3 linked regions of the Sus scrofa genome follow. The protein of the gene in region 3 purifies or fractionates together with the protein of the main gene of each other region. This does not show direct contact. Links are inferred from orthologs where the notes say so. Each region holds a gene or a part of one and is shown on either strand. Other genes may lie near its edges. The genes, in order: ATP2A1, ATP2A2 and PLN.

Region 1 (10,655 bases), on a different chromosome or scaffold from region 3:
TCTCGATGGTGACCAGCACAGACAAGGCCATGGTCATGGGCTGGGGGGCCTCGAAGACCTCACAGTCCACACCCTCAAAGTCGGGGTTGTGCTCTCCGCACTTCATGAAGTGAGTCTGCAGGGGGAGGGAGGGTGAGCTGGGGTCCTTGCAGGAGCCTCCCAACCACCCCCCCCCCCGCTCCCCCCACTCCCTCCTCTGCCCTGCCCTACCAGCTGGCTGTAGGTGACATGAGGGCCATCGTCAGCGTACAGGAACCACCAGGCTGCTGCCCCCACAGTGGCTGCACCCACGTAGCCTGTGGTGGAGAGAAGATGGGAGTTGGGGGGGCAGGGCTGGGGGGATGGGAGGAGTCGAGAGGGCCTCGTGGACAGCTGGTGGAGGAAGAGCCCCCCCCCCTGCCAAGGTGGCTGCGGTGGACAGGCTGGTGTCCCACAGAGGCGATCGTCCCCAGGGCTGGGAAGGAGCGTGGGGTCCCATCCGGCTCACCCCCAATTGCCATGTAGCGGAAGAAGAGCCAGCCACTGATGAGGGGCTCTTTGGGGCTCCGGGGGGGCCGGTCCATGATGTCGAGGTCTGGAGGGTTGAAGCCCAAGGCTGTGGCCGGGAGCCCGTCCGTCACCAGGTTCACCCACAGCAGCTGCACGGGGATCAAGGCCTCAGGCAGCCCCAGGGCAGCTGTCAGGAAGATGCTGCCAGAAGGAGGCGGTCACATGTCTGTCCTGGATCCCGGGCCTGCGGTCACCCCTCCCTCCACCAGCCCCGGGTTCCTCCTGGATGGCCGGCCCAGCTGCTCACCAGACCACCTCGCCCACGTTGGAAGAGATGAGGTAGCGGATGAACTGCTTCATGTTGTTGTAGATGGCGCGGCCCTCCTCCACCGCGGCCACGATGGTGGAGAAGTTGTCGTCCGCCAGCACCATCTCGGAGGCTGTCTTGGCCACGGCAGTGCCGGATCCCATGGCAATGCCGATCTCGGCCTTCTTCAGGGCGGGGGCGTCATTGACACCGTCACCTGTCTGTGGGGAGAGAGAGAAGGTGGGACGCAGCCCCTTCCGCAAATCCCACTTAAGACGCTTCTTTTTTTGTCTTTTTGCCTTTTCTAGGGCTGCTCCCACAGCATATGGAGATTCCCAGGCTAGGGTCTAATCGGATCTGTAGCCGCCGGCCTATGCCAGAGCCACAGCAACGTGGGATCCGAGCCATGTCTGTGACCCACACCACAGCTCACGGCAATGCCAGATCCTTCACCCACTGAGCAAGGCCAGAGATCGAACCCGCAACTTCATGGTTCCTAGTCGGATTCATTAACCACTGAGTCATGATGGGAACTCCCGAGACTTTTCATCAGAACCGAATCCTTCCTCTCTGTGCCCCTTGCTAAGGCCCCTGCTCAGGCCTGTCCTCCCGGGGTCCCCAGCTCCCCAAGGCGGTCAGCTCTCCGGACACTAAGCAGACCACCCCACGCCAGACCCCCATGTACTCCGGTTTTCTCACCATGGCCGTGATCTCATCATAGGACTGCAGATACTCCACGATCTTGGACTTGTGGGAGGGCTCCACGCGGGCGAAGCAGCAGGCGCGCCGGCAGGCCTCCCGCTGCTCAGGCAGGGGCAGGTCGTCGAACTCCCGTCCAGTGTAGGCTCGGTCGGCCACATCCTCGTTCTCCCCAAAGATGCCAATTCGTCGGCAGATGGCAATGGCCGTGCCCTTGTTGTCCCCTGTGATCATGATCACCCGGATGCCAGCATCGCGGCACAGCTGGATGGAGCCCGTGACCTCCTTGCGGGGCGGGTCCAGCATGCCCACCACACCCACGAATGTCAGGTCCGTCTGGGGAGGGAGCGGAGAGCGACAGGGTGGGGGAGGAAGGCTGGGGGAGCTGGGGCAGCGGGGGTGGGTGGGGGGGAAGCTGTCCCTGGGCCAGGTGTTCAAGCTTCAGTGGGGCTTCGAACGAGGGCAGCAAATGTGCCTTGTTCACAGATAGACCTGCAGGCCTGGCGGCACCAGGCCCGTCACAGGTGGCAGAGCGGGTCTTTCATAGAAAGAACTCGAGCTGGAAGTGGGGGAGGTGGTTTCTGCTTCCAACAAGGCCACTCCCTTGGTCTACACCTTTGAGCCAATCTATGTCACTGTCAGGCCATACTGCTGCTTCTATAAAATGTGGACTTTGGTGCTCTGCAGAGAGCAGGTCCACTACGAGATAAAGAGCTGGTGCCAGAAGGTCGATGCAACTATTTCTTTCCTTTTTTTGGCTTTTTTTTAGGGCTGTACCCGAGGCATATGGAGGTGCCCAGGCTAGGAGGTGCCCAGCCTACCCCACAGCCACAGCAATGTGGCATCCAAGCCACATCTGCGACCGATATCACAGCTCACGGCAATGTTAGATCCTTAACCCATTGAGCCAGGCCAAAGATAACCCGTGTCCTCATGGATGCTAATCTGGGTTCATTACCGCTGAGCCACAAGGGGAACTCCCCAATGCGTGTCTTAAGAAAACCTCACTGTCAGAGTTCCCGTCGTGGTGCAGTGGTTAACGAATCCGATTAGGAACCATGAGGTTTTGGGTTCGATCCCTGGCCTTGCTCAGTGGGTTAAGGATCCGGCATTGCCGTGAGCTGTGGTGTAGGTCACAGACACAGCTCGGATCCCTTGTTGCTGTGGTTGTGGTGTAGGCCGGTGGCTACAGTTCCAATTAGACCCCTAGCCCGGGAACCTCCATATGCCGCGGGTGCTGCCCTAGAAAAGGCAAAAAAAAAAAAAAAAAAAAGACAAAAAAGAGAAAACCTCACTGTGGAAACACAGCAGCGGCACCTAGTCACATGGCTGACTTCCATCCTGGCACGAGCACCTCCCTTCATCTCAGACAGGTCTACGGACCACACACAAAGTAGCCCTGGACTAGGTGATGCCTAAAGTTCTTTCAAACTCAAACGGCCTGTGACTCAAAGGAGGAAATGACAGGGGTGCTGGTGGAGGGGGTGAGGCGGGTGCCTCGGAGGCCTCGGGAGGCTTCCATGTGCTCACCTCGTACTCCATGAACCTGGCAGAGTCATCCAGGACCATGTCCTCTCGCTTTGGGGGGGTGTCGCGGGTGGCCAGGGCCAGGCAGCGCAGGGTGTCCCGGCCAGTGCCCCACTCCTTGATCACCGACAGAATCCTCTCCTTCACCGGCCCTGTCATCGGCACCCGGGTGGTACCAACCCGCACGTAGTTACAGCGCTCGATGACCCCCTCGGGAGCGCCCTGGGAGAACGGGACACAGTCCTCAGAGACTACGTGCCTTCGAGCGCACAGTGTCGGGGGAGCAGGGATAAGACAGGGGTTTGGGGTTAGGAGGAAGGGGGGGTCCGAGGCACGCTCGGATTTCTGACCTTGACAAACATCTTGTTGCCCACAGCAGCCCGGGATTTAGCTGGAGAGCAATAGACGGACATGGACTTTCTGTCCCGGGAGAACTCCAGTGTGAATTCCTTCTTCATTAGCTGGCGAATCACCTGGGAGAGTGGAGACAGGGAGGGAGAGGCCAGACATGAGACATGAGACCGGTGGGGAAAGAGCAATGATGCTGTGTTGGAAGGGAAGAGTTCCAGACCCCTTCAAACACAGTCGAAAAGGATCCGGAGGTCAGAGTGGACCCCAAGTTAAGTCTGAGATAAAGCTAAGTCTGGCACCTACAGCAGAAATGAAGAACATTCCAAGGCTAGGGCTGGCTGTCACTGTCTTACGGTGTCCAATTAAAAGCACAATAGAAACAGAAGGATGTGGAGTTCCTGTCGTGGCTCAGTGGAAGCGAATCTGACTAGGATCCATGAGGACGCAGGTTCGATCCCTGGCCTTGCTCAGTGGGTTAAGGATCCGGCGTTACTGTGAGCTGTGGTGTGGGTCACAGTTGTGGTTCGGATCCTGCATTGCTGTGGCTGTGGTGTAGGCTGGCGGCTGTAACTGATTTGACCCCAGCCTCCATATGCTGTGAGTATGGCCCTCAAAAGCAAAAGAAAGAAAGAAAGAAACAGGATGATGTAACATGGTACTGTCCAGTAGAACCATCCGTGGTGGGATGTTTTAATATTCTGGATGGTCCAATATGGTGTATGGAGCCCAGGAAAAGTGAGTTTTTACTTTTATTAAATAACTTAAATGTAAACAATCACGGGTATGCTTCTACAGACGGGGGTTGTTAAACCATGGACCTGGTGCCTGGTACGCAGTAATAAACACTCCATAAAGATGAATGTACCAAATGTATGCTGGATGTTTCTCCACAAAATAAAACAAAAACAATAAATAAAAATAAGGTGGGAGTTCCCACTGTGGCTCAGCAGATTAAGAACTTCACTAGGATCCATGAGGATGCAGATTCGATCCCTGGCCTCGCTCAATAGGTTAAGGATCCTCTGTGGCCACAGCCCCAGGGTAGGTCACAGATGCAGCTCGAAGCCATGGTGCTGTGGCTGTGGTGCAGGCCTGTACCTGAAGCTTTGACACAACCCCTGGCCTGGGAACTTCCATATGCCACAGGTGCAAAAAAAATAAAAATTAAAAAATAAGGTAATGTTTATATTATTTGTAAATTTTAAAAATGAATCCTTGGAGTTCCCGTCGTGACACAGTGGTTAACGAATCCGACTAGGAACCATGAGGTTGAGGGTTCGATCCTTGGCCTTGCTCAGTGGGTTAAGGATCCGGCGTTGCCGTGAGCTGAGGTGTAGGTTTGCAGACGCAGCTCGGATCTGCATTGCTATGGTTCTGGCGTAGGCCTGCGGCTACAGCTCTGATTCGACCCCTAGCCTGGGAACCTCCATATGCCGTGGGAGCGGCCCAAGAAATGGCAAAAAGACAAAAAAAAAAAAAAGAATCCTTTAGTGATAGATATTTAAGTTATTTTCATTGTTTTTGTTTCATTAAACAAAGCAGCAATGAGCATCTTGCATATACCAAAAAGAAAAAGGAATGAGCAATGTGGAGAATATAAGGTAAACCCCAAAGGGGTTTAGTATGGACATTCAAAAATATTAGTAGCAAAAACTTAGGGAGATAGTCACATTCAGAACTGAGCTTGTTCATCGGAATAAGGGAACGCAGAGGCATGTGCAACAGTCACATTTCCCAAATCCCACATCAGGTCTTGAGATCTGATCAAAACAAGTGTGTTTTCTCTGGTGTAGGCCGGTGGTTACGGCTCCCATTCGACCCCTAGCCTGGGAACTTCCATATGCCACAGGAGCGGCCAGAGAAATTGCAAAAAAGTCAAAAAAAAAACACCAAACACAAGTGTATTTCTAGTTTCAAGTGTGTTTCTACGGGTCAGAGTTGAAACTGGGGCTGCTCCAGGATGGGTCACTTGTGGTTTCTGTGTCCAGCTCCATCCTCCATCCCTTTCAATGAGGGAACCAACAGGAATACTCCTTTTTTTTTTTTTTTTGGCCTTTTCTAGGGCCACACCCATGGCATTTGGAGGTTCCAGGCTAGGGGTCTGATCAGAGCTGTAGCCGCCAGCCTATGCCAGAGCCACAGCAATGCAGGATCCGAGCTGCACGTGCAATCTACACCACAGCTCACGGCAACGCCAGATAGGAATACTCTTTTTTATTTATTTTTTTTTTAGGGCCACACATGCCCAGCATATGGAAGTTGCCAGGCTAGGGATTGAATTAGGGCTGCAGCTGCTAGCCTACACCACAGCCATTGCAACACCAGATTCAAGACACATTTGGTTGTTTTTGTTTTTTGTTTTTTGTTTTTTTTTTTTGTCTTTTGTCTTTTGAGGGCTGCACCTGCGGCATATGGAAGTTCCCAGGCTAGGGGTCCAATGGGAGCTGAAGCCGCCAACTTACACCACAGCCACAGCAACGCCAGATCCGAGCTACGCCTCTGACCTACACCACAGCTCATGGCAACATTGGATCCTTAACCCACTGAGCAAGGCCAGGGATTGAACCTGCGTCCTCATGGATGCTCGTTGGGTTTGCTAACCCATGAGCCTTGCCGGGAACTCCCAAGACGCATTTGTAACCTACGCTGCAGCTTGCGCCCATGCTGCATCCTTAACCTATTGAGTGAGGCCAGGGACTGAACCTGCCTCATGGATACTAGTCGGGTTTTTAACCCACTGAGCCACAACGGGAACTCCTGGAAAAGTCATCTTCCATTCATTCAGGGCTGCTGCAGCTGGGCCCCAGGAAGAGCAGTACAGGTGCAGGGGTAGGAGCCAACACAAAGTCAGCCAAGGAGCACACTGGAGAGGCCGCCTGCCTATGCTGGGGCCAGATGGGTGCAGGGGAAAGGGGTGGTGTTTCCTGAAGTTCCTTAGGTCCTGGCCTGGGCAGCGTGGGGGTGGAGAAGGCCTGCAGGGAGGAGGGAGCCCAGACTCACCGAGTTGCAGGCGTTGGCCCTCTCCACCTTCGAGAGGTTTCTCACGTCGGTATTGAATACGTTCATCTTCTCCACCAGGGTGGTGAGCGCTGTCTCAGTGGCCTCACCCACCTTCTCATACACACCTTTGGCCTGGAGAGGGCAGAGGAAGAAGAGGATGTAAATGCCCGGGGTCCTCCTGGCCCCTCGATCCCACCCCATCGCCCGCCTTCCACCTAGAAGGGGAAGGGAGCCAGCCGCCGTCGTCCCCTGACACCCAGGAGAGGGCTTGGTGCAAAGGACACCTTTCCCCTGCCCCCTGCCTTGTGGCCTGCGGAGGAGGCCTGGATGCGGAGGCAGCTGGAGGGGGAAGGAGGGGCGGCCTCGGGAGCAGAGAGGAGAGGTTACCTCGTTGAAGTCCAAGGAGGAGTCATTGCAGAGGGCACAAATGGTGGCCAGCTCCACCAGGCCATCATACTGCCCTGCCCGGACTGGCTTATCATTCTTCAAGCTGGCGGCAGGGCCGGGGGAAGGAAGGGAAAGAGACAGGTGGAGAAGAGAGGGAATGAGATGCAGAGAGAACCCAGGGAGCGCCACCAGGGACGGTGCGGGAGATGGCCACCCATTGGGAGATAAGTGGGAGAGAGAAGGAGGTCAGGGAAGGAACAGGAGAGAAACAGGAAGGCAAACTAGAGGGAGTCTGGGCGTTCTCATGGGGGCGCCATGGAAACGAATCTGACTAGGAACCATGAGGTTGCGGGTTCGATCCCCGGCCTCGCTCAGTGGGTTAAGGATCCGGCGTTGCCGTGAGCTGTGGGGTAGGTCGCAGACACAGCTTGGATCCCGTGTGCCTGTGGCTGTGCTGTAGGCTGGTGGCTACAGCTCCGATTCAACCCCTAGCCTGGGAATCTCCATAGGCCGCGGATGCGGCCCTAAAAAACCAAAAAAAAAAAAAAAAACCAAACAAACTAGAGGGAGGCGCCCCCCAACCCCCAACAAAGAGGAGGTGTATGTGTGAGGGGGAGGGGCACGAGGAACTGGGATGAGGATGATGACTCTGGGGGCACTTACACCTCTCCTTCTGGAGCGTAAGTGGAGCCGGTGATGGAGAACTCGTTCAGAAGGCAGATGTCCCCTTCCACCTTGTCGATGACAAACATCTGCAGAAGAGAAGGGCAGGCACGCGGAGGTCTAACTGTGCCCATCCTTGAAGGCAGGCTGCAGCCTGGGGAGGCCCGAGCCCCGAGCGCGCCTCTGTCCGGCCCTCTGCGCGGACTTAGCCAACTTCCCACCCTCATCCCCCCACTGGTCCTTCCCTTTTCCTCCTGCACCCTCCCCTTTCCCACCGCACCCCTGCAATTAGTCTCCCCTGTGCGAGTGGCCTCAAAAGTTACTGCAGGTCAAGGTTCGAGCCCTGGCCTCGCTCAGTGGGTCAAGGATCTGGCGTTGCTGTGGCTGTGGCATAGGCTGGCAGCTGTGGCCTGGGAACTTCCACAGGCCTCGGGTACAGCCCTAAAAAAAAAAAAAAAAAAAAAAAAAAAGGAAGACCTATTTCAGAGTTCCTGTCATGGCTCAGTGGAAACAAATCTGACTAGCATCCGTAACAATGTGGGTTCAATCCCTGGCCTTGCTAAGTGGGTTAAGGATCCGGTGTTGCCATGAGCTGCGGTGTAGGTCACAAACCCAGCTCAGATCCTGAGTAGCTGTGGCTGTGGTGTAGGCCAGCGGTTACCTCACCGATTGGACCTCTATCCTGGGAACTGCCATATGCCGTGGGCATGGCCGTAAAAAGACACACACAGATACACACACACAAAAAAATGTTACTGCAGGTCCTGCTGGAGGTTCCATCAGGTCAGCTGGTAAAGTAAGACGTGCACCATAAGGCGTAGTGGGGACTGTGGCCACCAGTCCACCTGTGAGCACATGGCCCATCTACAGCCCCAGCCTCTGTGCCCAGATCTTCCAGTTTTGTAGGAAGAACTAGAAATTCTGGTTATTTTCCTATGCAATCACTTGACGTTTCAAATGTGGGTGATTCATTGATTCCTATGAAACATGACAGGAGCCTAGGAGTCTGGCTTTGAAGCCAATGCTTTGGAGGGATGTTGATCGCACCACGCAGAGGGGAGCAGCCCTCTGAACCAGAGCAGGTGTGGGGCCTTAGGACGTGTTCCAAGACAAAAGGCTTCTGCGGCCAGGTCATTTGGGGAAACTCTGGGTTAAACAAAGTGAAATCCACCCTCTCTATGAAGGGTCAGCCTTCCCTGAGGCTTTCAAATGCCAAGAGGCATGGGGGTCTCCCCAGGGGTACATCCTTTCTTGGCCTGATCTGACAGCACAGCCCCTGATTCTCAGAACAGCAGTTTCTATTCATCGGATAAAAGTCCCCCAAAGTCTGTTTAGGGCAAGGCTCTTTGCCTGGGGTCCATGGAGGATCCCCCACCCCCTCCCCGCACTGGACCAAGGGATCTGTAAACTTTGACGGCCAAACAAAAATGAGGAGTTCCTGTCGTGGCGCAGTGGAAACGAATCCAATTAGGAACCATGAGGTGGCAGGTTCGATCCCTGGCCTCGCTCAGTGGGTTAAGGATCCGGGGTTGCCGTGAGCTGTGGTGTAGGTCGAAGACACGGCTTGGATCTGGCATTGGGCTGTGGCTGTGCTGTAGGCCGGCAGCTGTAGCTCCAATTCGACCCCTAACCTGGGAACCTCCATATGCTGCAGGGGCGGGCCTAAAAGGACAAAAGACAAAAAAAAAAAAAAAAAAAAAAAATGACACCTTGTCTTTTCTCTCTGACAGTAAACATTTCCTCCCACTTTATGAATGTGGACAATGGACCACATTAGTATTAGCAAAACCTGTGACTTGGCCACCAATATAATCACACATAGTCTCCTCTCACGTTGCATGGTTGCAGAGCTCTCAAAATAGCATTTACGCTCATCGCAGCTTTAGCGTTATGGCAATTCTGAGCTCCACGGCTGGACTTGCCACTTACTGCATTAATAAAGAAGCATAACGCACAAGTCACAGGTCTCTTTTTAAATTATTTCGATGGCTGGTATTTCTTTCTTTTCTTTTTTTTTTTTTTGTCTTTTTGCCATTTTCTTGGGCCGCTCTCATGGCATATGGAGTTCCCAGGCTAGGGGTCGAATCGGAGCTGTAGCCACCAGCCTACGCCCGAGCCACAGCAACGCGGGATCCGAGCCGCGTCTGCAACCTACACCACAGCTCATGGCAACGCTGGATCATTAACCCATTGAGCAAGGGCAGGGATCGAACCTGCAACCTTATGGTTCCTAGTTGGATTCGTTAACCACTGCGCCACGACAGGAACTCCAATGGCTGGTATTTCGATCATGGGTTTCTGATGTCATTTAAAAAGAGAATCCTGAGAGTTTTAGGTTATACATTAAATATATGAAATGTAGAGGTCCGGATGGCCAAAGGCGCCAAAGCACTGAAAGATGAACAGCCCTGGTTAAGGAGTTCCCGTTGTGGCTCAGTGGGCTAAGAATCAGACTGGTATCCATGAGGATGCAGGTTCCATCCCTTGCCTTGCTCAGGGGGTTAAGGATCTGGCGTTGCCGCCAAGTGCAGCGTAGGTTGCAGAGACAGCTTGGATCCGGCATTGCCCTGGCTGTGGTGGAGGCTCCAGCTGCAGCTTTGATTCGACCCCTAGCCTGGGAACCTCCATATGCCACAGTGTAGCCCTAAAAAAAAAAATAATAAATAAATAAATAAATAAACAAATAAGTTTTTTTAAGCAGGGGGGATGCCCTGGTTTAGGAAATGCTGTTTGGGATTAGAGTGGCCAGGCTCCCCAGGCCCCATCATGAATGAGGGGGCAGTCCAGTGAATCGGTAGGTGCTCTGGGGCCAGACAGACTTGGGTTTGAAACTCAGTTCTGCTCCTTATTAGGTGTGCATTGAATCTCCCAGAGCTTCAGTTTCCTCCCCAGACAGGGCCACTGCAGGGCCTTAGGGACCACACACAGCTGCGTCTGGCACACGGATGGTGGCTGCAGGGAGCTCTCTGCCTGGGACAGGGCGCTGCTCTGCTCCCTCTGGCAGGACAACACTCTCTGTGCCTTCTGGGCATTTCTTTCTCAGGCCCAAATGAGAAGCTGCCAGTTGGAGTTCCCGTCGTGGCTCAGCGGTAATAAATCCGACTAGGATCCATGAGGATGCGGGTTCGAGCCTTGGCCTCACTCAATGGGTTAAGGATCCGGTGTTGCTGTGAGCCACAGTGTAGGTCACAGATGTGGCTCAGATCCTGAGTTGCTGTGGCTGTGGTGTAGG
Region 2 (10,784 bases), on a different chromosome or scaffold from region 3:
AAAAAGGAGTTCCCATTGTGGCGCAGCGGAAATGAATCCAACGAGGAACCATGAGGTTGCAGGTTCGATCCCTGGCCTCTCTCAGTGAGTTAGGGATCAGGCGTTGCTGTGAGCTGTGGTGTAGGTCGCAGACTTGGTTCGGATCTGGTGTTGCTGTGGTTCTGGCATAGGCTGTCAGCAACAGCTCTGGACCCATAGCCTGGGAACCTCCATATGCCGCTGGTGCAGCCCTAAAAAGGACAAAAGACAAAAAAAAGAAAAAAAAGTCCACGGGGGGGGAAATGTCATCTAAGTTTACCAAAAATAGAGAAGGAGAGTCTTTTGTTCTTTGACTTAAGTCAAGGTACTGTATAGAAGTTATGTAACATCTGTATGTGGTTCAACGTTGCTTTTCTTGCTCAATGGTTTTGAAGAAATTGAGCGGTTGCAGTGTGATTTTTTTCCCCTTTATTTACTTATTTATTTATTTTTTGTCTTTTTGCCTTTTCTAGGGCCGCTCCCACGGCATATGGAGGTTCCCAGGCTAGGGGTCCAATTGGAGCTGTAGCTGCCAGCCTACGCCAGAGCCACAGCAACGCTGGATCCGAGCCAGGTCTGCAACCTACACCATAGCTCACGGCAACGCCGGAACGTTAACCCACTGAGCAAGGGCAGGGATTGAACCGGCAACCTCAAGGTTCCTAGTCGGATTCGTTAACCACTGCGCCACGACAGGAACTCCTTTCCCTTTCTTTTCTAAAATGCATTCTTAGCACCACTTAAGGCATGCCTCTGTGTACTGGTACTAGGGTATTTCAAAAACTGTTCTAATTAAAGACTTTTCTTTAAATTATGTACAACCCAAACTGTTGGTGTTTTGGAGTTCCCTGATGGCTCAGCAGTTCAGGACTTGGCATTGTCACTGATGTGGTGCAGGTTATCCCTGGCCTGGGAACTTCTGCATGCCAGGGGCTCAGCCAAAACAACAACAAAAATGTTGATGTTTTGTATGGATTACAAGTACAGCATTCCTTAATTCTGCTATTCATCTCGACTGTTAAAGAACCAAGTATGTACGGCATGAAAACATTAAGACTCTTTTCTCTTAAATAAACTCCAAGGTAACGACCCCTAAAGCACCTGTCTGCCTGATACCTACTTTAGCAATAATTTTTTTTTCCCCAAAATTCCCTGACTCCACAAAGTAAATAAAAATGTATTTTATCACTGTCGAAAAAGAAAAATATACATGTACCCCTATGTTCATAGCAGCACTATTTATAACAGCCAAGACACGGAAGCAACTTAAGTGTCCAATAACAGATGAACAGATAAAGATGTAGTACATATATACAGTGGACTACCATTCAGCCATAAAGAACAAAATAATGCCATTTGCAGCAACATGGATGGACCTAGAGATTATCATACTAGATAAAGTCAGAAAGAGAAAGACAAATACCATGTGATACCACTTATATGTGGGATTTAGAATATGGTACAAATGAATTTATCCACAAAACAGAAACAGACTCCTAGACACAGAGAACAGACTTGAGGTTGCCAAGAGGGAGGGGTGGGAGAGAGATGGATTGAGAGTTTGGGATTAACAGATGTAAACTATTAAACATAGGCTGGATACAAATAAGGTCCTATTGTATAGCACAGAGAACAATATTCAATACCCTGCGATAAACCATAATGGAAAAGAATATGAAGAAGTATATATATGTATAACTGAATCACTTTTCTATACAGCAGAAATTAACACGACACTGTAAATCAACTACACTTCAAAAAAAAAAAAAAAAAAAAAATGATGTCCCGGAGCACTGCATTTTGCTTCTACTAAAAATTGGCAAATGTACATTTAAATTAAAAGCATAAAATTAAGATAAATTATCTCAGACCTCAAGGACAAAGATGCCAACTAAAATCAGTTTTAAAAAGCCCCTCCCCACCCCACCCCTCAAGTTCCCCAACCCAGCGCAGTGGGTTAAGGATCTGGCATTGCCGAGGCTGTGGTATAAGTCAAGGATGCAGCTCAGATTCAATTCGTGGCCCAGATACTTCCAGATGCCATGAGTGCAGCCGAGAGAGGAGAGAAACAAAAATAAGCACCCCCCCAACTATCAAAAGGAATATTTACAGTATAGGGGTGAAAAGGGATAAATAATCATAGATTCAAATAGATTACATCAAAAAAGTCTGCTTGGGGAAAAACAAGTATCTTACTACAAACAAGTACATCTTACTTAGAAGACCTTCTAAGGTTTCCTTTGTTCTAAAAGCTATAACTCCTACCTCCTTCACTCAAACCCAAATAGGTCTAAAATGTCATTCCTCAAACACACTTTGTACCTTTCTGCTCATGCCACCCCCTCTCTAGAATATCCTCCCCAGCCTCCACCCACAAAACTACCATTTCTCTATAGTTCTCCCAATCGCTTGTCAGCTTTCCCCCTGCCGCCAATATCACTTTACACTTTTTTGTGTGTGTGTCTTTTTGCCTTTTCTTGAGCTGCCCCCGTGGCACATGGAGGTTCCCAGGCTAGGGGTCCAATCTGAGCCGCAGCCACTAGCCTACACCAGAGCCACAACAACGCCAGATTCGAGCCGCGTCTGCAACCCACACCACAACCCACTGAGCAAGGCCAGGGATCAAACCTGAAACCTCATGGTTCCCAGTCGGACCCGTTAACTCCTCACTTTACACTTTTAAGTTTCCTTACCTCCAGAAAGCAAGAACCCTCTGGTATTGATCATATCATTCTGTATATTATGTAAACAGGATTAAGATATAAGAATGTTATTCTTTTCTTCAAGCTAAGACAAACATAAAAGTCTTGTGAAAACTGCTTTAAAATTTCACTTCTGAATTCAGATCAGCCTGCCCTGGATGCAAATCCCAGATACTCTGTGTATGTATGTACTCCCTGTACGTCCTTTGATACATTCATCACTCTGAACCTCAATGTCACATCTGTCAAATGGTAATATCATCTGCTTTAGAAAATCACTGTAGGAGTTCCCGTCATGGCTCAGTGGTTAGCAAATTAGACTAGGAACCATGAGGCTGTGGGTTCGATCCCTGGCCTTGTTCAGTGGGTTAAGGATCCGGCGTTGCCGTGAGCTGTGGTGTAGGTTGCAGACACGGCTCGGATCCCGTGTTGCTGTGGCTCTGTTGTAGGCCGGTGGCTATGGCTCCAATTAGACCCCCGAGCCTGGGAATCTCCATATGCCACGGGAGTGGCCCTAGAAAAGGCAAAAAGACAATAAATAAATAAATAAAGAGAACAAAAAATTAAAAAAAAAAAAAGAAAATTACTGTAAACATGAAATAGGAATGTATACAAAGCATGCACCATGTAACTAACATAAACGAATTAAAAACTGCATAGGACACTGAGAAGGACAATCTAATGCTGTGTATTGTTTCTTTTGCCTAAATTATTCAGAAAAAGATCATTTCTACTTAAATAAAAGCAATTAAAAAAATCAAAGTAAGGAATACAGTTCAATTAAAGTTTTCTTCTAAGTAGGTATCCTCATAAATGAGCCCACCACATAAAGGCCTTCGCATTCACTAATAACATCAGAAGTTTCCAATTCCAATAGGACTAAGTATGTTGATGTTTTCCCTAAGACTGACAGATGCACGAGATTTTAGTCCCAGAAGAAGTGAACATATCCATCAAACCCTAAAAGATGAATACTTAAAATGAATGTGACATATTACTGAATCTGTTAAAATATATCAAAAACAAACATCAAACAAATCAATAGAACAATCCTAGCAAAGCTAAATTCTCAAACTAGCTATCTGCAGAAGACCAATCATGTGAATGTGAGGCAGGGGTATGATCCTGTTGTATTTCTGCAGTAAAATTAGCTTCCATTCTGTGAGTAATAAAGGTCTGGGCACTGGGCAATTTAGGGAAAACAACCAAGAGTATTCTTTGAAGGTAAAACAATTTAAGACTTAATTTTTTAACTAAATCCACACACATCCACACAATTCATGGACAATAAAAACGATACTGACTTTGTGAAGTTCTTCCATAGGAAACATAAAGAGAAATGATGCTTCTCAAATTTTCTTTTTTCTTTTTTTTTGGTCTTTTTGGGGCCACACCTGTGGCATACGGAAGAAGTTCCCAGGCTAGGGGTCTAATCAGAGCTACAGCCGCCGGCCTACACCACAGCAACACCAAATCCTTAACCCTTTGAGCGAGGCCAGGGATCGAACTCACAACCTCATGTTTCCTAGTGGGATTCGTTTCCGCTGTGCCACAATGGGAGCTACTGGTTCTCAAATTTTCTGATTTTACCCAGGTAGCTTCTCTCATCCACTTCATGCTGCCATGAAGGATAAGCAATTTTAACAGCAAAGTATGTATGCATGAGAGGGATAAAACTGACACTACATAAACTAATAGGCAAAAAAACCACATCTAGTTCCACAGATATTTTTAGTCAACATAGCAGGAAAAACAGATAACAGAAAGACTAACAAAGTTTAAATACTTACATATTATCAAAATTTAGCATTGAAGGAACTTTTCTTACCTGCCATACACCCACAATTGCATTGGCTACTAATATAAGTAAAATTACAAAGGGTTCTACAAAGGCTGTAATTGTTTCTTCGCCTTCTTCAAACCAAGCCAAAACCTGTAAGAGAAATGGCACACATTAGAATTGTGGTATGTTCTTAGGCTTTTACAACAAAAGTGGCCGGCATGAAACAATTACAAGATAAAAAAATCTCTTTTCTTACCATCCTTAGAAACAAATGGTAGCAAAATGTAATGACATAAACAACACATATCTTTTTCCTAATAATTCTTAAGACTCAAAACTATAAACTTCTTAATAATATCCTTAAGAGCCTTTTTTAATGTAATAATTGTTTTAAAATCCTAAACAAGTACTTTTGGGGAACTAAACCCCATTCATTTTATATGTGTATAAAGAAAACATTCCTGATTTTGTTAAAGTAAAAAGCAATCAAATTTTGTTAATTTGATTAACATTCCTATCAAATAAATGCTCACATGGCATAAATTCATAGCAAAAACAATTTGACCATTGACTCAAAATTAGATATATAAACTGTTAATGTCCCACTTATTTTCAGTGGTGTTACTGCAAGGTTGTTCTGTGATCAGGAATCTCTCTTGAAGGTTATGACATCTAGTGTATCAATACAACAGTTCAGGATATAAAAGCCCCAAAATGTTACAACTGGGCCCAGAACACTGTCCCAAGAAAAATGAACAAAGAATTAACTTCTAACTCACACAACTGTAACTTTCAGATTTAAAAGCTACAAGTTGAGAGTCACACTGTACTTCATAACTGAGCAAGCCTAAGATTGTGAGAAAGAATTTAACACGGTGTATCTGAAAATAATAAAAAACATGTTAAAAGAGGCATATAAATGGTTAAAATTTCAACAACCAATTTTTGTGGGAAACTGCCAATCCAGAAAAGACGTTAAACATATCTAATGGATTCAACCTGAGAGGTAAGATGTGTGTGCCTCTGCCTTTTAACATTGCTTTGGATGTTTGCATATTTCACAATAAAATATTTTAAAAGATCTATTCAGTAAACAATGGAAGCACCATTTTTGATACTCTTTAATATTGTCAGATATGATTTATAATAATAATGAAGCCATCTGACTACTTTTATACTTAGTAGAATACTATAAAGTGAGCTTTGACACAAACAGCAAACCAGAAAGATGATTAAGGCAAGGCCCAACCTGAATTTTGGAAGTAAAAGAGAATAATGATAAATTAACAAGAAATATCAACTTGGAGGGCAGGTATGCTCACGACTATACCACCAACACAAGAAAGATCAATTTAAGCAGGAGAAAAACCAGGAAACACAAGAACTAGGTCCTGATAGATGCCAATCACTGCTAACAGCTAATGAACCAGGGCAGGCAGAAAACCAGAATGAATATAAATGTTGCTCAAAGCTTTCAACAGGGCATTCCTGGTGTTAAGGCTAGGCCTAATGCCAGAATAAAAACTTCTCTAGGAAGTTATAAATACTGATAGATGCAAGATCACAGCTGCTTTGACACTAGCCTTCCAAATATTTGCCAAGGAGAGCATATCAGAAATAAGAAACTTAATTAGCTCTTGGGGGAGAAAAATTGCTCAACTTGAAGAATAACTAAGACCTTTTCAAAAGGTCAGTGAGGCATTAGCAACTGTAAGATAAGCTTCACACCTTGTTAAAGTGGGTATGAATTTCCCTCTTGGCAGCTGAGCCTGAGGAACAAACTTAAAGCAATATCCCCTACCAGCTAGAGCAAAGGAAAAGACTAAGGCAAGCATGACAGGATTACCAAAGCAAACCTCTACTTTTCATGAAATGTGTGGTTCATCTGCACAAGTGGTATTCATCAATAATGCAATAACCCTCACCTGCACAATGTAGTAGACTTTTCTTCCACTGCATTATTATCATTATTGTTATTTTGGCTGCATTTGCAGCAAATTCTCAGGGACAGGGATCAAATCTCAGCCAAAGCTGGGACCTATACCACACAACACCAGATTCTTAACTCACTTCGTCACAATGGAAAACTCCTCCAATATGAATTTTAAAATGTGTATGTGTAAGAAACACAGGAATGCATAGTTATTTGAAGGTTCTGTAGAATTACTGAATGTATAGTTACTGCTTGATGAGATACTAGAGGACAAATCTCTCAGCCTGGAAGGATAGAACTGAACCTATTAAACACTGACAACTAGTAATTTTCTAACTACTTTAAAAAACATCCTTTTCTGGAGTTCCCATCGTGGCACAGGGGTTAATGAATCCAACTAGGAACCATGAGGTTGTGGGTTTGATCCCTGGCCTTGCTCATTAGGTTAAGGATCCAGCGTTGCTGTGAGGTGTAGGTGGAAGATGCGGCTAGGGTTGGGTGTTGCTGTGGCTGTGGTGTAGGTCGGCGGCTACACCTCTGCTTAAACCCCTAGCCTGGGAACCTACATATGCTGCGAGTGCGGCCCCAGGAAAGACCAAAAAAAAAAAAAAAAAAAAAAAAAAAAAAAATCCTTTTCTGGAGTTTCCATCATGGTGCAATGGAAATAAATCTGACTAGGAACCATGAGGTTGAGGGTTCGATCCCTGGCCTCGCTCAGTGGGTTAAGGATCCAGCACCTCCATGAGCTGTGGCGTAGGTCGCAGACATGGCTCGGATCTAGCATGGCTGTGGTGTAGGTGGGCAGCTACAGCTCTGATTAGACCCCTAGCCTGGGAACCTCCATATGCTGCAGGTGCGGCCCTCAAAAGACAAAAGACAGGAAAAAAAAAAAAAGAAGAAGAATCCTTTTCTTGGAATTCCCATTGTGGATCATCGGATTATGAACCCAACTAGTATCCATGAGGATGAGGGTTCACTTCCCGGTCTCGCTCAGTGGGTTAAGGACCCAACATTGCTGTAAGCTGTGGTGTAGGGGGCAAAGTTCAGATCCAATGTTGCTGTGGCTGTGGTGCAGGCTGGCAGCTGCAGCTCCAACTCAACCCCTAGCCTGGGAACTTCCACATGCCACAGGTGCAGCCCTAAAAAGTAAACAAACAAACAAATAAAAACAAATTTTTTTTTTTGCCACACCCATAGCATACAAAAGTTCTCAGACCTGGGACAGAACTCCAGCCACAGCAGTGACAAGGCCAAATCCTTAACCATGAGATCATTAGGGAACTCCAAAAATTATCTATATTTAAACCCACAAATGCAAGTTCCCGCTGTGGTGCAGTTGGTTAAGAATCCAACTGCAGTGGGTCGGGTCCCTGTGGAGGTTCAGGTTTGATCCCCAGCAAGGCACAGGGGGTTAAAGGATCCAGCGCTGCTGTAGCTGTGGCTTGGATTCAGTCCCTGGCCTGAGAACGTCCATGTGCTGTGTGTGCATCCATAAAAAACAAACAAAAAACCCAAAACCTCACAAATAACCTTAAGAATTAAATGCTACAACTCAAATTGAAGATCAACTGTACTTCACTTACTGCTAAGAACGAATCCAGTGAATTATGTTCAAACCACATTGTACAATCCTTCATGGTTTTGTCCTACTGAAAAGAAAACCTCTCTTGGGTAAATGGGAAGATGATGCTGACAAACAAAAGACTCCACGAGTTCCCGTTGTGGCACAATGGTAATGAACCGGACTAGTAACCATGAGGATGCAGGTTCAATCCCTGGCCTCGCTCAGTGGGTTAAGGATCTGGTGCTGTTGCCATGAGCTGCGTTGTGGTGGTGTAGGTGGAAGACATGGCTTATATCTGGTGTTGCTGTGGCTGTGGCCAGCAGTTACAGCACTGATCTGACCCCTAACCTGGGAACTTCCATATGCTGTGGGTGCACCCCCCCTCAAAGGACTCCATGAGATGGGGAAAGGGTAAATAGAAATGAGGGAAACTGGATGAGTGACATGTTGGGTTTTTTTTTTTTTGTTTTTTTTTTTTGGCCTTTTTCTAGGACTGCTCCCACAGCATAATGGAGGTTCCCAGGCTAGGGGTCTAAATCGGAGCTGTAGCTGCTGGCCTATACCACAGCCAAAGCAACGCCAGATCCAAGCCGCATCTGCAACCTACACCACAGCTCATGGCAACGCCGGATCGTTAACCCACTGAGCAAGGCCAAGGATCGAACCCACAGCCTCATGGTTCCTAGTCATATTCGTTAACCACTGCGCCACGAGGGGAACTTCTTTTTTTTTATGTCTTATTAACATTTATTTATAGTCAGTTCATAATTATGGTTTACTAGAAGTTATAAAAAATACACAAGAAGGGAAGAACGTTTCTAAAAAAAATTGGGGGCAGGCTGAATATAAAGGATTATCTGTTTGTATTTCCTTTTGTTTACTAATCTATCCCCAGGGGCCTAGAAGAGTATCTGGTACCTAACTAATGCTCACTATACATTTACTGAATTGAAGCATGAATGCATGAAACAAAATCTCATACAATGTCTAAGGTTTAAGTCCCTACCTGGAGTATGCGAACTTAAGCATTAAGAGAGCAAAAAGGTAACCAACTTCAACAATTTCAAAAAGAAGTAGAAGGAAAGGCTACTACAGTATAATTTTAGGCATAAACATTGTTTCTTTCTTTCTTTGCTTTATAGTTAATACAGAAAGTAACAGTACTTCTGGGGCTTACATTATCCAGCAAGTTCAAAACTTCAAATTTGTCAATCCTATTCAAAGTAACCACTTGCTAGGTTATTTCAGATAGAGATGATAATTAGAGGATACCCTATCCTAACACTGATCTCTGTACATCAGGATAACGTCTGACAGTACAGCCAAAAAATGCTAGGGAGTTGAGTTTAATGAATTAAAAAAAATTTATCCAAGGTAAAAAGGCCTATTCTGGTGTAAACTAGGAGAGAGTCATGGTACCGTGACTCAGTTATCTCCATGTCAGGATAATGTCCTGAGCTCTTAAGACCATAAGAAGAATATGAGAGGTCATAAGTACATTCTTAAGATCGAGGATCTTAAAACATGTATAAGGTATGCATTCCCCCCTTGTATCCTTAGAAAATTTGCAATGCCTTTGCACTCAAACACACACACAAAAAATTTACATCAAAAATTTTTTTCAAAAGAGGAAGCAGAAATTACACTTCACAAGAAAAATACCACCAGTAAGTGTTATGGCAATTTTCTGGGTTGAGAAACAAAAATTCTTTCAGCTATTAAAAAAAGAAAAGTATGAATTAGACTATACGTTCTCTTCTGATCCAGAAACAAAGCATATGTCTAAGCTTGTGTTTCAGATTTGAGAATATAATTTAATTTAAAACAAACCAAAAAACCCCATACACATTCACCATCGAAACTATATTTTATTATTATTATATTTTTGCTCTGTAGGGCTGCAACCAAGGCATATGGAAGTTCCCGGGCTAGGGGGCTGAACTGGCACTACAGCTGCTGGCCTACACCACAGCAATGCAGGATCCAAGCCACGTCTGTGACCTACACCAGAGCTCGCAGCAACGCCGGATCGTTTTACTCACTGAGCAAGTCCAGGGATTGAACCCGCATCCTCCATGGTTGCTAGTCAGATTCATTTCTGCTGAGCCACTATGGGAACTCCCCAAATTACATTTTAAAGAAAGGCTCTATATAAACCAGTTAACTGCCCATTTTATCCTTTAAAATAAATTAAAAGTAAACACAGGAAAAATTTAAAATCACTACATTATTAAATACTCAAAAATATCTGAGAAAACCAAAGTAAACGATTGTCAGTATTTCGAAAATGCCAGACGCAAACTCATCCAGATGTTTGTTATATCAAAAGCACTAACCTAGGCTCTAAAAGGAATTAAGAATCCGTTCAAAGAGTACAGTGGAAAGAAAAGACAAATTATTCAAATGTAAGCGAAAGTTCAGAAGTGTCTTGGTCTAGGAAAGTTTTATTAGTATTTTAGGGTTAATCTGAATAGCTGAGGTAGGGAAATGGGGGTGGAGGGTAGCGAAACTCGCACAAGTTGCATTGCCACAGAGGATCATGATTCAGACAAATAAGACAAATATGGTCCTTGAGCTCACTTTCTTCAAGTAAATGTCACCTCAGATGCCTTTCCTGGCTGTCCCATTTGACAACTGTACTCCTTCACCATTTGTCCCTATTCCACCACCACCCTCCTTCTCCACTTAACTTTTCTCAGAGCACTATCTCCAATCCAACAGATTATTATACATTTTACTTTTTTGTCTCCACTAGAATATCAGCTCCAGGTTAAGAGATGTTGT
Region 3 (10,784 bases):
GTCACCGTGGGGGTGGAAAAAAAGACTTTTACAACTCAGAAAAGGAATTTGGCTTAGAGTCACAATCTAACTTCATCATAAATTTATTTATCTTTTCCTTTTTATGGCCACTCCTGTGGCATGTGGAAGTTCCCAGGCTAGGGGTCGAATTGGAGCTGCAGCTGTAGGCCTACGCCACAGCCACAGCAACACCAGATCTGAGCCGCATCTGCAACCTACACTGCAACTTGCAACAACACCAGATCCTTAACCAACTCAGTGAGGTGAGGAATCAAACCCACATCCTCATGGACACTATGTTGGGTTCTTAACCTACTGGGCCACAACAGGAACTCCACGTCAGCATAAATTTATATAGAACTTTGTAGTTGTCAGAGTGTTTTATATCTTGTTTGATCCTCAGAGCCTCTGTCCTTCGCACCTCAAAATGTCATCTATTTATTTATTTTCTGGTCTTTTTAGGGTCACACCTGCAGCATAAGGAATTTCGCAGGCTAGGGGAGCTGCAACTGCCAGCCTGTACCACAGCCACAGCAATGCCAGATCCAAGCTGCATCTGCGACCTGCACCACAGCTCATGGCAACACCAGATCCTTAATTTACTGAGCGAGGCCAGGGATTGAACCTGCGTCCTCGTGGATACCAGTCAGGTTCATTACCCGGTGAGCCACAATGGGGGCTCCCAAAAGGTTAGTATTGTGACATGAAAATGTCACTCTTATTAGGGCTCAGTCCTGAATAATTATTGAGCCAGCCTCACAGCCTTATGTGTGTCATGTTCCTTGAGTCCCATGATTTCCTACTAAATCAGCTGGAGTGCAGATAGTGAACTGCGAAGCATTTTCCTCTGTGAGTGAAGAGAAACCATCTATGCCCTCAGCTGGTTAGGATTTGTCCTTTGTGTACAGTGTCCACCAAAAGTCTTTGGTTCTTTCCTCTGTTCTGTATTACCTGTTCTTTTCCCACCCTCTCCCAAAGCTGTCTGACTTTTAAGGACTATGACAAAAGAGAAAAACAGCAAAGTCTTGTCTTCTCTTTGAAAAGAATATTTCCCTTTCCAGGCCCCTCTTGCATGTCCTTTTTTTTTTTTTTTTTTTTTTTTTTTTTTTTTTGTGGGGGCTTGGGGGAGGAAGGGAATGGAAGGTGCCTATTTCTGCACACAAAGAGTATCCATTGGATCCCTATAAGCTCACAGTGGATCTCCCAGCCAGGAGTGAAGAACTGGGCTCTTTATTTACAAAGAAGTTCTTTTTTTTTTCATATTCCATAGGATGTTTCTGAGTTCTGAGTTGCAGTCATTAAAATAGGAAGATAAAATTTTATGCTTATTTAAATCATGGAAGGCCTTGATCAGCCGGGATATTATTAGCACCTAATGATTTCAACATATTTTGCTGGAAGATTTCTCTTACATACAGCAAAAATATAAATATTTGGTAGAAGGACTTAAATGACTTGGTTTTCGTCTAACATGACATAAGGATGAAAAAGTGTTTATTTTTTTATTAAAGTATAGTTGATTTATAGAGTTGTGCCAATTTCTGCTGTGCAACAAAGTGACCCAGTCGTATATATATGTACACATTCCCTTTCTTATATTATCTTCTATCATTGTCTATCCTAGGAGACTGGATCTAGTTCCCTGTGTTATATGGTAGAACCTCATTGCTTATCTATTCTAAATGTAATAGTTTGTATCTACTCACCCCAAACTCACAGTCCCTCCACCCCCTTGGCAACCACAAGTCTGTCCTCTATGTCTGTGAGTCTCTTTCTGTTTTGTAAATAGATTAATTTGTGCCACATTTGATATTCCACATGTACGTGATATCATATACTGTTTTTCTTTCTCTTTATGACTGACTTAGTGTGAGAATTTCTGGTTGCATCCATGTTGCTGCAAATAGCATTATTCCATTCTTTTTAATGGCTGGGTAGTTTTCCGTTGTATACATGTCCCACGTCTTAATCCATTCATCTGTCAATGACATTTAGATTGTTTCCATGTCTTGGCTATTGTGCGTAGTGCTGCTATGAACATAGAGGTGCATGTATCTTTTTCAGTGGAAGTTTTGTCTGAATGTATGCCTAGGAGTGGGATTGCTGGATCATAGGGTAGTTCTATATTTAATTTTCTGAGGAACCTCCATACTTCTTTCCATAGTAGTTATACCAATTTACATTCCCACCAGCAGTTTAGGAGGGTTCCCTTTTCTCCACCCCCTCTTCAGCATTTATTTTTTGTGGATTTACTAATGATGGCCATTCTGACTGGTGTGAGTTGGTACCTCATTGTAGTTTCAATTTGAAAAGGTTCTATTTTTAATGTGAGGGTAGTTTATGTATACTACTACATCCTCTGAAAAGAAAGTTTTCTTATTTTTATTTTTGCACCCTGTGTTGTTTTTAATTAATTGATTTTTTTTACTGTTTAAGATAATATAGCATAACTGCATTGAAAGGTGTGGACACTGTGACACTGTCAATAGATAGGATATGACATTATGATACATTAACTAGGTAACTAAAAAGCATAGAATTGATTTTTTAAAACATGTTTTAATAAAATCATTAATGTTTAACTTTTTTAATGTCATCTTTTCTATATAGTATTAGTATATAATTTTTAGACATTTTTAAGTGCTGTTACTTAGCAGAAAAGCTTAACTTTTTTTGAAATTTTCTCACTTTGCCAGAAGACTCAGAAGTAATCCAAGGATATGTAATTTCTATGTAGTAGGAAATTCATTAATTTATGTAGGTCTGCCCTCTTGTGTCTGTACTAGGAAATCCTGATCTTATTTTATTTAGGGAAAAGTCACAGAAAACAGCCTACAAAATCAAAACTGCTTATAATTAGATTGTTTTATGGTCATATCAATCATGAGTGAATTCACTGGGTTCAGGAAGTTTCTTTTTAATGTAGGTGATTTGCGTTAAATAAACATTTTGAACCAAATAAAACGTAGAAGGCGACATTAAACATTTAAAATTAGCTCATAGTTGGTACCCTGCACAGTAATATTAGGATTTATTCTATAGTAGAAAGTATTTGCGCATTTGGTATTTAAAATTTTTTAAATACATAGTTTATTGTATTTTACTCTTTATACATCCTGGTAAACAGAATAAGTTCCATCTAAAGAATAGGTTTTATTTTACAGTATAATCTGAGTTATAGTATTCTGTAATTCTCAAGTGTAAGGTTTTAATTTCTATTAAAGGCAGAATGAAAAACAAAAACAAAAAAAACTATTTCTGTTTGACTTAGGGAAAACTCCATAACTTTCACAGTTTATAGCTTTAAGTTGATATTGTAATGAGCAATGTAATGAAAAGGGTAGAACTTATTATTTCAAATTTTCCATTTATTTTAAGGTCATTACACTAATTATAGAATTGGTTACTTTTTACATGGGGAATTACTGCCACCAGTAAAGCAGTTGTCTCATTTATTGCTTATAAACTCTTCTAGTTGCTAATAGGATTTTCAACCCATAGATGAGGCTTTGCTCAAGAAATCCCTCTATCAGTGTGAAACCCCTTTTCCCTCTGTTCCTTAAATATCAGCAATCCAAAATTATCCTCATCCATCCAGGGATTCAGAAAAAACTTAAAAGCATTATTTCCTTTGTTAGCAGCACTTATGTTGAAAACCAAGGTCAATATTGACTTTTCCAATTCTTTTAGTAACCATACTTTAGCAAACCGTATAATAAATTGCACATTCTCTACTTCCCCAATAATTATTATATTGCTTATATATCTTGAACTTAAAATTATTGAATTATACAGTATAGATGTAAACCATTTTAGACTCAGTTTTAAACTGACTCAATTTAATTCACTAAATTTTGGTGAATGTATTTCCCAAACCAGTTTTTTTACTTCTTTTGTTTTATGAATTGTTGGAAGTTATTTTTAAATGATCAGAGGGAAAATTGGAAATGTATTTAGCAAAAAAATAATTGTAGATTAGCATAGCTGTATCTGTAATTTAGCATAGTACAGTGGCCTACCAAATAGGTGTTTACCATTTGGTTGTTAGATTAAGGAAAATAGCTATATCCTATCATGAACAGTAATGACAAAAGTTCGTTTCAAAATTTAATCAAAGAATTTGTTAATTCTGGAGAGATATTTCAAATTTTATTTTTAATGCTTGAAATAATATTTTTTATTCTTTCCCTTGTCTACATTGTGGGTGAAATTAGAATAGAAGGTAACCTATAAAATCACTCTAATGTCTTCTTAAGATTTCATGATTCCAGAGATAAAGTGTGGCAAGTTATGTGTTCTAACTCAGATAATTATCTATTGTGCCTTAAATTAAGGTAGATTCTATTCTATTAGTGTATTAGTAATTATGGCTAATCACAATGTCACATGTTAAATTAACCAGCAGTTCTTGTGTATAGAGAACAGATTTATAGTTTTACCTATATGTACTAGAATTCTATAATTCTTTGAGAAAAATGGTTAAGAGAAATTTTGTTTATGTAAGGATATGGTCTTTTTCCTACTTGATTCTCATAAATTTTTTAAAATATTAGTGTAGTATAGAGAAAAGAATACAAGTTCTCTTTTAGAATGTAGGTTCTGATACCACTAGAGATTCTGTGTGATGATAATAAAGACAGCAGATGTGAGGAGTCAGTGGGCTATTTCAAATGATAGTTCATTTGAATGATTATTTTGGTACACTTGGTGAAGACCTGAAAAATACTTAATAAACATCAAAGAGGCTTTTACAGTACAGTATAAATTATATTTACCCCAAAGAGTGAAGCTAATGCTTTATATATGACGTGAACTAGTTAGCAGTGCAGTTTCCAAACTAAACCCCTAGTTCATCCTCAGAAAAGATTTGGGATAGAAATTTATAAGCTCTGTTGAGAAAATCAACAGTTGCATTATGCACACTTATAGTCATTTTAAAGTTAGTTTCTGAAAATAAAGCCCTTTTCATGTTTACAAGATCCAGCAGATGAATACATTTGCTAACAATTTGTTTCATTCCAAATCTTGACCTTTTCATAAAGAACTTTCTGCTGAGGAAGTGGTCTCTTATATAGTATTGTTTCCCTTCTTCATGGGATGACAGATTTTAAGCTGATGGTGATAAATTGTAGCACTGGAGATTGTGGCAGAACTTCAGAGAAGCATCACGATGATGCAAATCAGCAAGAGGCATATTAAGATGAGACAGAAATTGATAAATAGGTTCTGAAGGTTTTGACGTGCTTGTTGAGGCATTTCAATGGTTGAAGCTCTTCTAATAGCAGAGCGAGTGAGGTATTGGACTTTATCCATGATACCAGGAAGGCAGGAAGCCTGAAGTTTTAAGCCGTCAAGAGAAAGCTGAAAAAGCTACCAGCCAAATATGAGATCACTGTCTTCTTTTAGGCAGCCTGGAATGTAAAAATAGTAGATGGATTAGGATCATATGTATAATAACTTATTTTCTGAACAGGTAAAACAGTTTTGTGTAATCCCTCATTCTCTACATTATTTGTATTTATGACATCCAGTATCTCAATAGTCTATGTGTGGCTTTGTCCATCTGCCTGTCTCTTTCTGAGAACCTGTCTTTTTTGGTTATGGTCACAATGATGTTTTCTGTTTGGAGTGCAGTAACTTCAGTTCTTGCCTCCTTCTCTCAGAATGACTAGATGTATAGTTTAGTTTAGGGGGCAGCTTGTTTTGGGCTGTTCCCTTAGGCAAGTTCTTACATACAGTTTCATTAAGACCGTTTCTCTATGAGCATAATTGTTGTGAACATTAGTGTATTAATGGCTCCAGAGCAATCTAATAAAAAGAAATGAGTGCATTTAAGTATGACATTAGATACTGTTTCAAAGAGATATTCTTTTTATTTCTGAGCATTTCTGGAATAAGATGTAAAAATAAAGCGCATTTGAAGAGTTTACATTTATTCACATCTACATGTTTTGAGATTTTAGTATAGATTTTCTGAAGCAATCACAGATAATTTTTTAAGAAGAAATCAAATTATGAATGTTTTCTATTCATTTTACTAATAAATTTAGCAAATATACATATAAAAGAAATACATGTAATAAATTTTCTCTGGATGTTGATTTCAGTCCAAAATAAAATCATTAAATGGGAAGTATTTTATCAGAATTATAGATTGAAATGTTTGCCATTCCTTTTTACAGTTTTATAGCTTTTTGGATATGCTATTTAAAGTAACATTTTAATAAGACCGTATTAAGTACTGAAGATTTTCAGACTCAGAAGGCATAGTAAATAAAACTGTCATTGTCTTCCTATCTACCACAGATAATTGTTATTTTCAGAGGACCTGTACTTAAGAACAGCGTTTCCATTTGCATTCTTTCAGAGCTCCCACAAGCTCTTCTACAAAACCATCTGATTAATTGGTGCCTGATAATTATCTGTGCTAATAAAAAAACCCAGGACTTAATGCATCATTGTAGAAAATTGGATATAGATTAAAAATTAGCCATAAATTAACTGCCCAGAGATAGTAACAGTTAACTTTTGGAGATGTTTTGTTGTCATTAAGGATACTTCTAATGTGAATTTTGAAACAAGAAAAGTTGGAAATGAAATTTTAAAAATAACCATTATTAACTACCCAGAGATAACTGTTATTAACATTTGTTGATATATCACTGCTAATTAAGATTTTACCACCTTACTCCAGCTGCCTAATTTCATTTTTTCCCTAGTGGCTTCACATCTCAAGAAAACCCATCTCAACCTATAGTTCTGTTTCTGAGAGAGACTAGTGCTAAAGATAGCAGAGGGAAGAACTGAAAGAATGAGAAAGAAGATATGTATCAGGCTGGTCAGTCAGAACTTCCCAATTTTTGTTACAAAGAAACCATGTGGTATATGGTCGTTAGATTTTGTAGTTTCAGTGCTTCAATTTGGCTGTATTAAGATTTGAATTATATATTGGACTGAGCTTTCATTTCTCTGGGGACTCTGGTCTCTTTCATGGTATTGACCTGTGGTGAGGAGATCCGAACAACGAACTAGACGTCATTCTTTCAAAGAGTTGGTACAGCTTATGTTTCTCTAGCATATATTCTTCATGGCCATTACTTAATTTATCTGTAACGTTATCACCTTAGAAACTGTCAGCTTAAGCTTGGTATATATTTAATTACTTTAGTTTGAATTCTTAAAGTACTATTGAAATAAAGGAGTTTTGTTCTTTAAGAAAATGCACCCTTTAAGTTGTTTTGGCTTGGATTTGCTTGTTGTAGATACAGTGAATTTTTACTGTTAGATAATTACAAAGAGGATTTTCCTTATTACTGTATATATTTGACTAGTCTCTTTACATGAGTTGTATAATTAAGTACAGTTTGCAGGGACCTGCTGTATAGCACGGAGAACTCTACCTGGAAGTCTGTGATAATCTATGTGGGAAAAGAATCTGAAGGAGAATGGATGTGTGTATATGAATGGCTGAGTCACTTTGTTGCACAGCAGAATTTATCACAACCCTGTAAATCAACTATACTTCAAAAAGTATAATATAGTTTAGGAGGCAGTAGAGAATCATTGATAATTCCTGTTTAAACTTAATTTTTGTGAGGTTTTAGGACTTAAATAGTATAAAAGATCTGAATTTTAAAACTATTCTGAGATAAAACATGGAAAAGGAAGAGCAGGCCGGTTGTTCATCATGAAGCACATATAGGAGTCATTCCCTATCCTGACGCTGATGAGTGGTACTTTAGTCACATGAAACATGTCACCTTTCCATAAATACCTCATTCCCTTTTATGATTCTGCCTTTTGCACATGTTGTTCTGGCGTTGCCTGGAATGTCTCCCTTCCCCCTGCCTCTACCTTTGATTCTTTGCCAGGCGAACTTTAGTTAATCTTTAAGGCTCAGTTCCTGATGAAACCTTCCATGACTTCTTAAGGCAGAATTGATTATCACCTCTGCTGGTTTTTAGTAGACCTATATCAAAACATGGCCATTAGGCGATGCTATAATTTTGATTTATATGCCTGTGACCCCAACTAGACTTCTGGTTCATAAACATAAGGAACCATGTGTTTATTTTGTATTCTAGTACCTAGTACAAAATTGGTACCATTTGAATAAATCAGTGAAGTTGACTAAGCGATTTTTATGATTTACTTTAATATTTTTAGAAAATTGCTAATGATCAGAGTGTTGTGATTCACAAATTAACCATTTAAATAATATAATTTGATAGTTAAACACATAGTTTCCAATGTTCTTAAGTCTCTTTATTTTACAGATGAGGAAAATGAGGCTTAGAGGATTTACCTTAGGGAATTGAAACTTAAATTGTTGTTAATGATTAACAACATTAACCTGGCCTAAGCTTTGTACAAATGGGTACTTGGTGTTTGTGAATTACAAAGAGGTACACTAAGGATAAGAGCTCTCTAATAATGAATGTATAATGAATATAATTTATTTGAAATTAAAAAAAATTTTTTTTAAGGACCACGCACGTGGCACATGGAAGTTCCCAGGCTACAGCCACAGCAACAGAGGATCCGAGCCGTGTCTGTGACCTATACCACAGCTCAGGGCAATGCCAGATCTTCACCCACTGAGTGGGGCCAGGGATCAAACCCGCATCCTCATGGACACTAATCAGGTTCATTACCGCTGAGCCACAATGTTAACTCCTATAATGAATATACTTTAGATGATCTCATAATACTTAAAAACAGCCAACTGTTGTGGGAAAAGGACAGTTTGTTCCTGGAGACAAAATAAGTATAAAGGAGACAGCCAAAGATAGTGTCTTGTTTTCCGTCAGACTTAGAAATATAATTCTAAAGTGATTTGTAGTCACTTTATAACCTTGTGCTAAAACCAAAACAAATCTGCTTTACATGCTGAAATGTTAGCTGTATGCATACAATTTATTGGTCCCAATTTATTGTACAGTGATACAATCTAAAATGTGTGGAGCCCTAATTCTGTTGAGCTTACAAAATCTGTGTGATAATAATTAAGCCAAAATTCATCCATACAAAAGATGGGGCTTCCTGTCTTATGTTGAGAATTCAAAAGCTGTGTGTGGGAATAGCACAGTCCTATTTTTAGAGTTGTCTTTGACCTTCACAACATCATAAAATACGGCATGGTTGTCAGATATTTATCATTTTTTTTCTCTTCACTCAACAACCATCCCATGAGTTTAGAACTTTTTTTTTTTAGAACTTCAGCAGTCTTTTTTTTTAATCCTTTCTTAGAGCCAAGCTGTTAATACAGTAGTATTTGATAGAGAGCCTAGAAAAATAGTTTCACTTTATTTTCATTTTATCTAATCTCTTAGAGCATTGCTTTGGGTAATCAGAAATAGATTGTGTTGAGATGTTCTGAACCTGCGTCTGGCCTAAACAAACAGTGGAGACTGAAATTAGCCTTATCTTCCTCTCTTAAAAGGATAGCAATATGTGTAAATTAGGTATTTAGGATAAGAGGAGTAAGGGTACTTTTCGAAAATTAATTCACCATCCAAGCCCTAGAATCAGAATAGTGAAAATATGAAAGATACTTGGGTAGGAATTTGGCTGTAGAAATGCCAGTGACATGGAGACGTCAGGAAGTCCTCACAGAGTATCTTGTATGTCTCTGGGAACTATGATTATTCTCATTTTCAGAGGGATGGGAAGAATAACTCTTTACTATTCTTTGTAGGATTTATAAAGCCTTTGGATGTCCACCCTTCCTTTTTTTGCTCAAAAAGGTGAAATTGGGAAGTAGATACAATTAAGTTCCAGCTAGTATTCTGTTTTTCAAAGTGGAAGAAGGCGAAGGACAAACCACAGGCAACTCTAATCCCTCAGTAATTATCATGTGCCATGGTAGGCACATTTGGGGTGGAAGTACCTTGTCAGCCTCTGCAGTAGTCCTCACTTTGTCTGCAGTGAGTTCTGTTTCTTAACATAACATCAGAGACATTGTTGTGCAAAAGGAACCTCACTAGACATTTGAAAACTTTGGTGTCACTTTATGACCTGATAAGACAATTGATACCTTAACGATGTTGTATGTGCTGAGCAGTAACCCCCACCTGTAATTTAAGCACTTTCAGGGCTTTGTAGAACTTTCTGAAGTTCATTTCTGTTGAAACAAATTCCTGAGATTCTGTCTGTGGCATTCAGAATTTTGTTTCCATTTAGTTTTTGTCTGTTTATTATTTTAGTGAACATCCGTGTATTTTGCCAGTAAATTCAAGTAGTACACATCCAAGACTATAGTCTGACAGATGACTTTTTGAAATTTCTTTCCATTAAATTGATTCAGAAGATTAGAATTCTCTGTAGACTTGATTTTACAGGATTTATCTAATTAAGATTATTTGGGAGTTTTATTTTTTCCTATTCTTTGCTGTTATTTTTTGCAGATAATCCAGAAGCGATTATGTATGCATCTTTTTGGTCGCTGCGGTGGGGGGTGGGATTTGTTGAATTAGGTCAGGACAGTAGGTTTGTCATCAGTCTGCTAGTATCCAAAACTTCACTTTGGTAGCATCGTTTTCCTTTTGAGATTACCTAATGCTAGCTAAACTTGGAAGTTATATTGGAAGATATTTTGTGACAGCAACATTCCAAAGCTTTGTTGGTCCACACTGGCTATATGAAAGAATCTTCAGGCTGCTTCTGCCTGGTTGTGAAGAGAATTGTGTAAACATAGAAGTCAACATATTTTTAACCCCTTAATTGATCCCGTAATGAAATATTTCCCTCAGTTTAAAGCTCTGCCTTTAAGGAAATTCATTAAA

The links.
Region 1: the proteins of PLN (region 3) and ATP2A1 purify together in Homo sapiens (affinity purification with western blotting, with the first as the bait; 3 studies listed by BioGRID). This does not show direct contact. The link is inferred for Sus scrofa from reciprocal best matches to the Homo sapiens genes PLN and ATP2A1.
Region 2: the proteins of PLN (region 3) and ATP2A2 purify together in Homo sapiens (affinity purification with western blotting; 4 studies listed by BioGRID). This does not show direct contact. The link is inferred for Sus scrofa from reciprocal best matches to the Homo sapiens genes PLN and ATP2A2.

The regions. Positions count from the first base shown.
Region 1 is NC_010445.4:18,556,104-18,566,758, reverse strand, and holds part of ATP2A1 (sarcoplasmic/endoplasmic reticulum calcium ATPase 1), read right to left. Parts: intron 7,513-10,655; coding exon 7,424-7,512; intron 6,864-7,423; coding exon 6,761-6,863; intron 6,506-6,760; coding exon 6,374-6,505; intron 3,496-6,373; coding exon 3,373-3,495; intron 3,245-3,372; coding exon 3,026-3,244; intron 1,832-3,025; coding exon 1,496-1,831; intron 1,018-1,495; coding exon 797-1,017; intron 691-796; coding exon 488-690; intron 297-487; coding exon 211-296; intron 116-210; coding exon 1-115. UniProt on the Homo sapiens protein: Key regulator of striated muscle performance by acting as the major Ca(2+) ATPase responsible for the reuptake of cytosolic Ca(2+) into the sarcoplasmic reticulum.
Region 2 is NC_010456.5:31,678,894-31,689,677, reverse strand, and holds part of ATP2A2 (sarcoplasmic/endoplasmic reticulum calcium ATPase 2), read right to left. Parts: intron 4,654-10,784; coding exon 4,549-4,653; intron 1-4,548.
Region 3 is NC_010443.5:43,444,604-43,455,387, forward strand, and holds the end of PLN (cardiac phospholamban), read right to left. Parts: intron 5,412-10,784; 5' UTR 5,314-5,411; coding exon 5,155-5,313; 3' UTR 4,751-5,154; downstream 1-4,750. UniProt on the Homo sapiens protein: Reversibly inhibits the activity of ATP2A2/SERCA2 in cardiac sarcoplasmic reticulum by decreasing the apparent affinity of the ATPase for Ca(2+).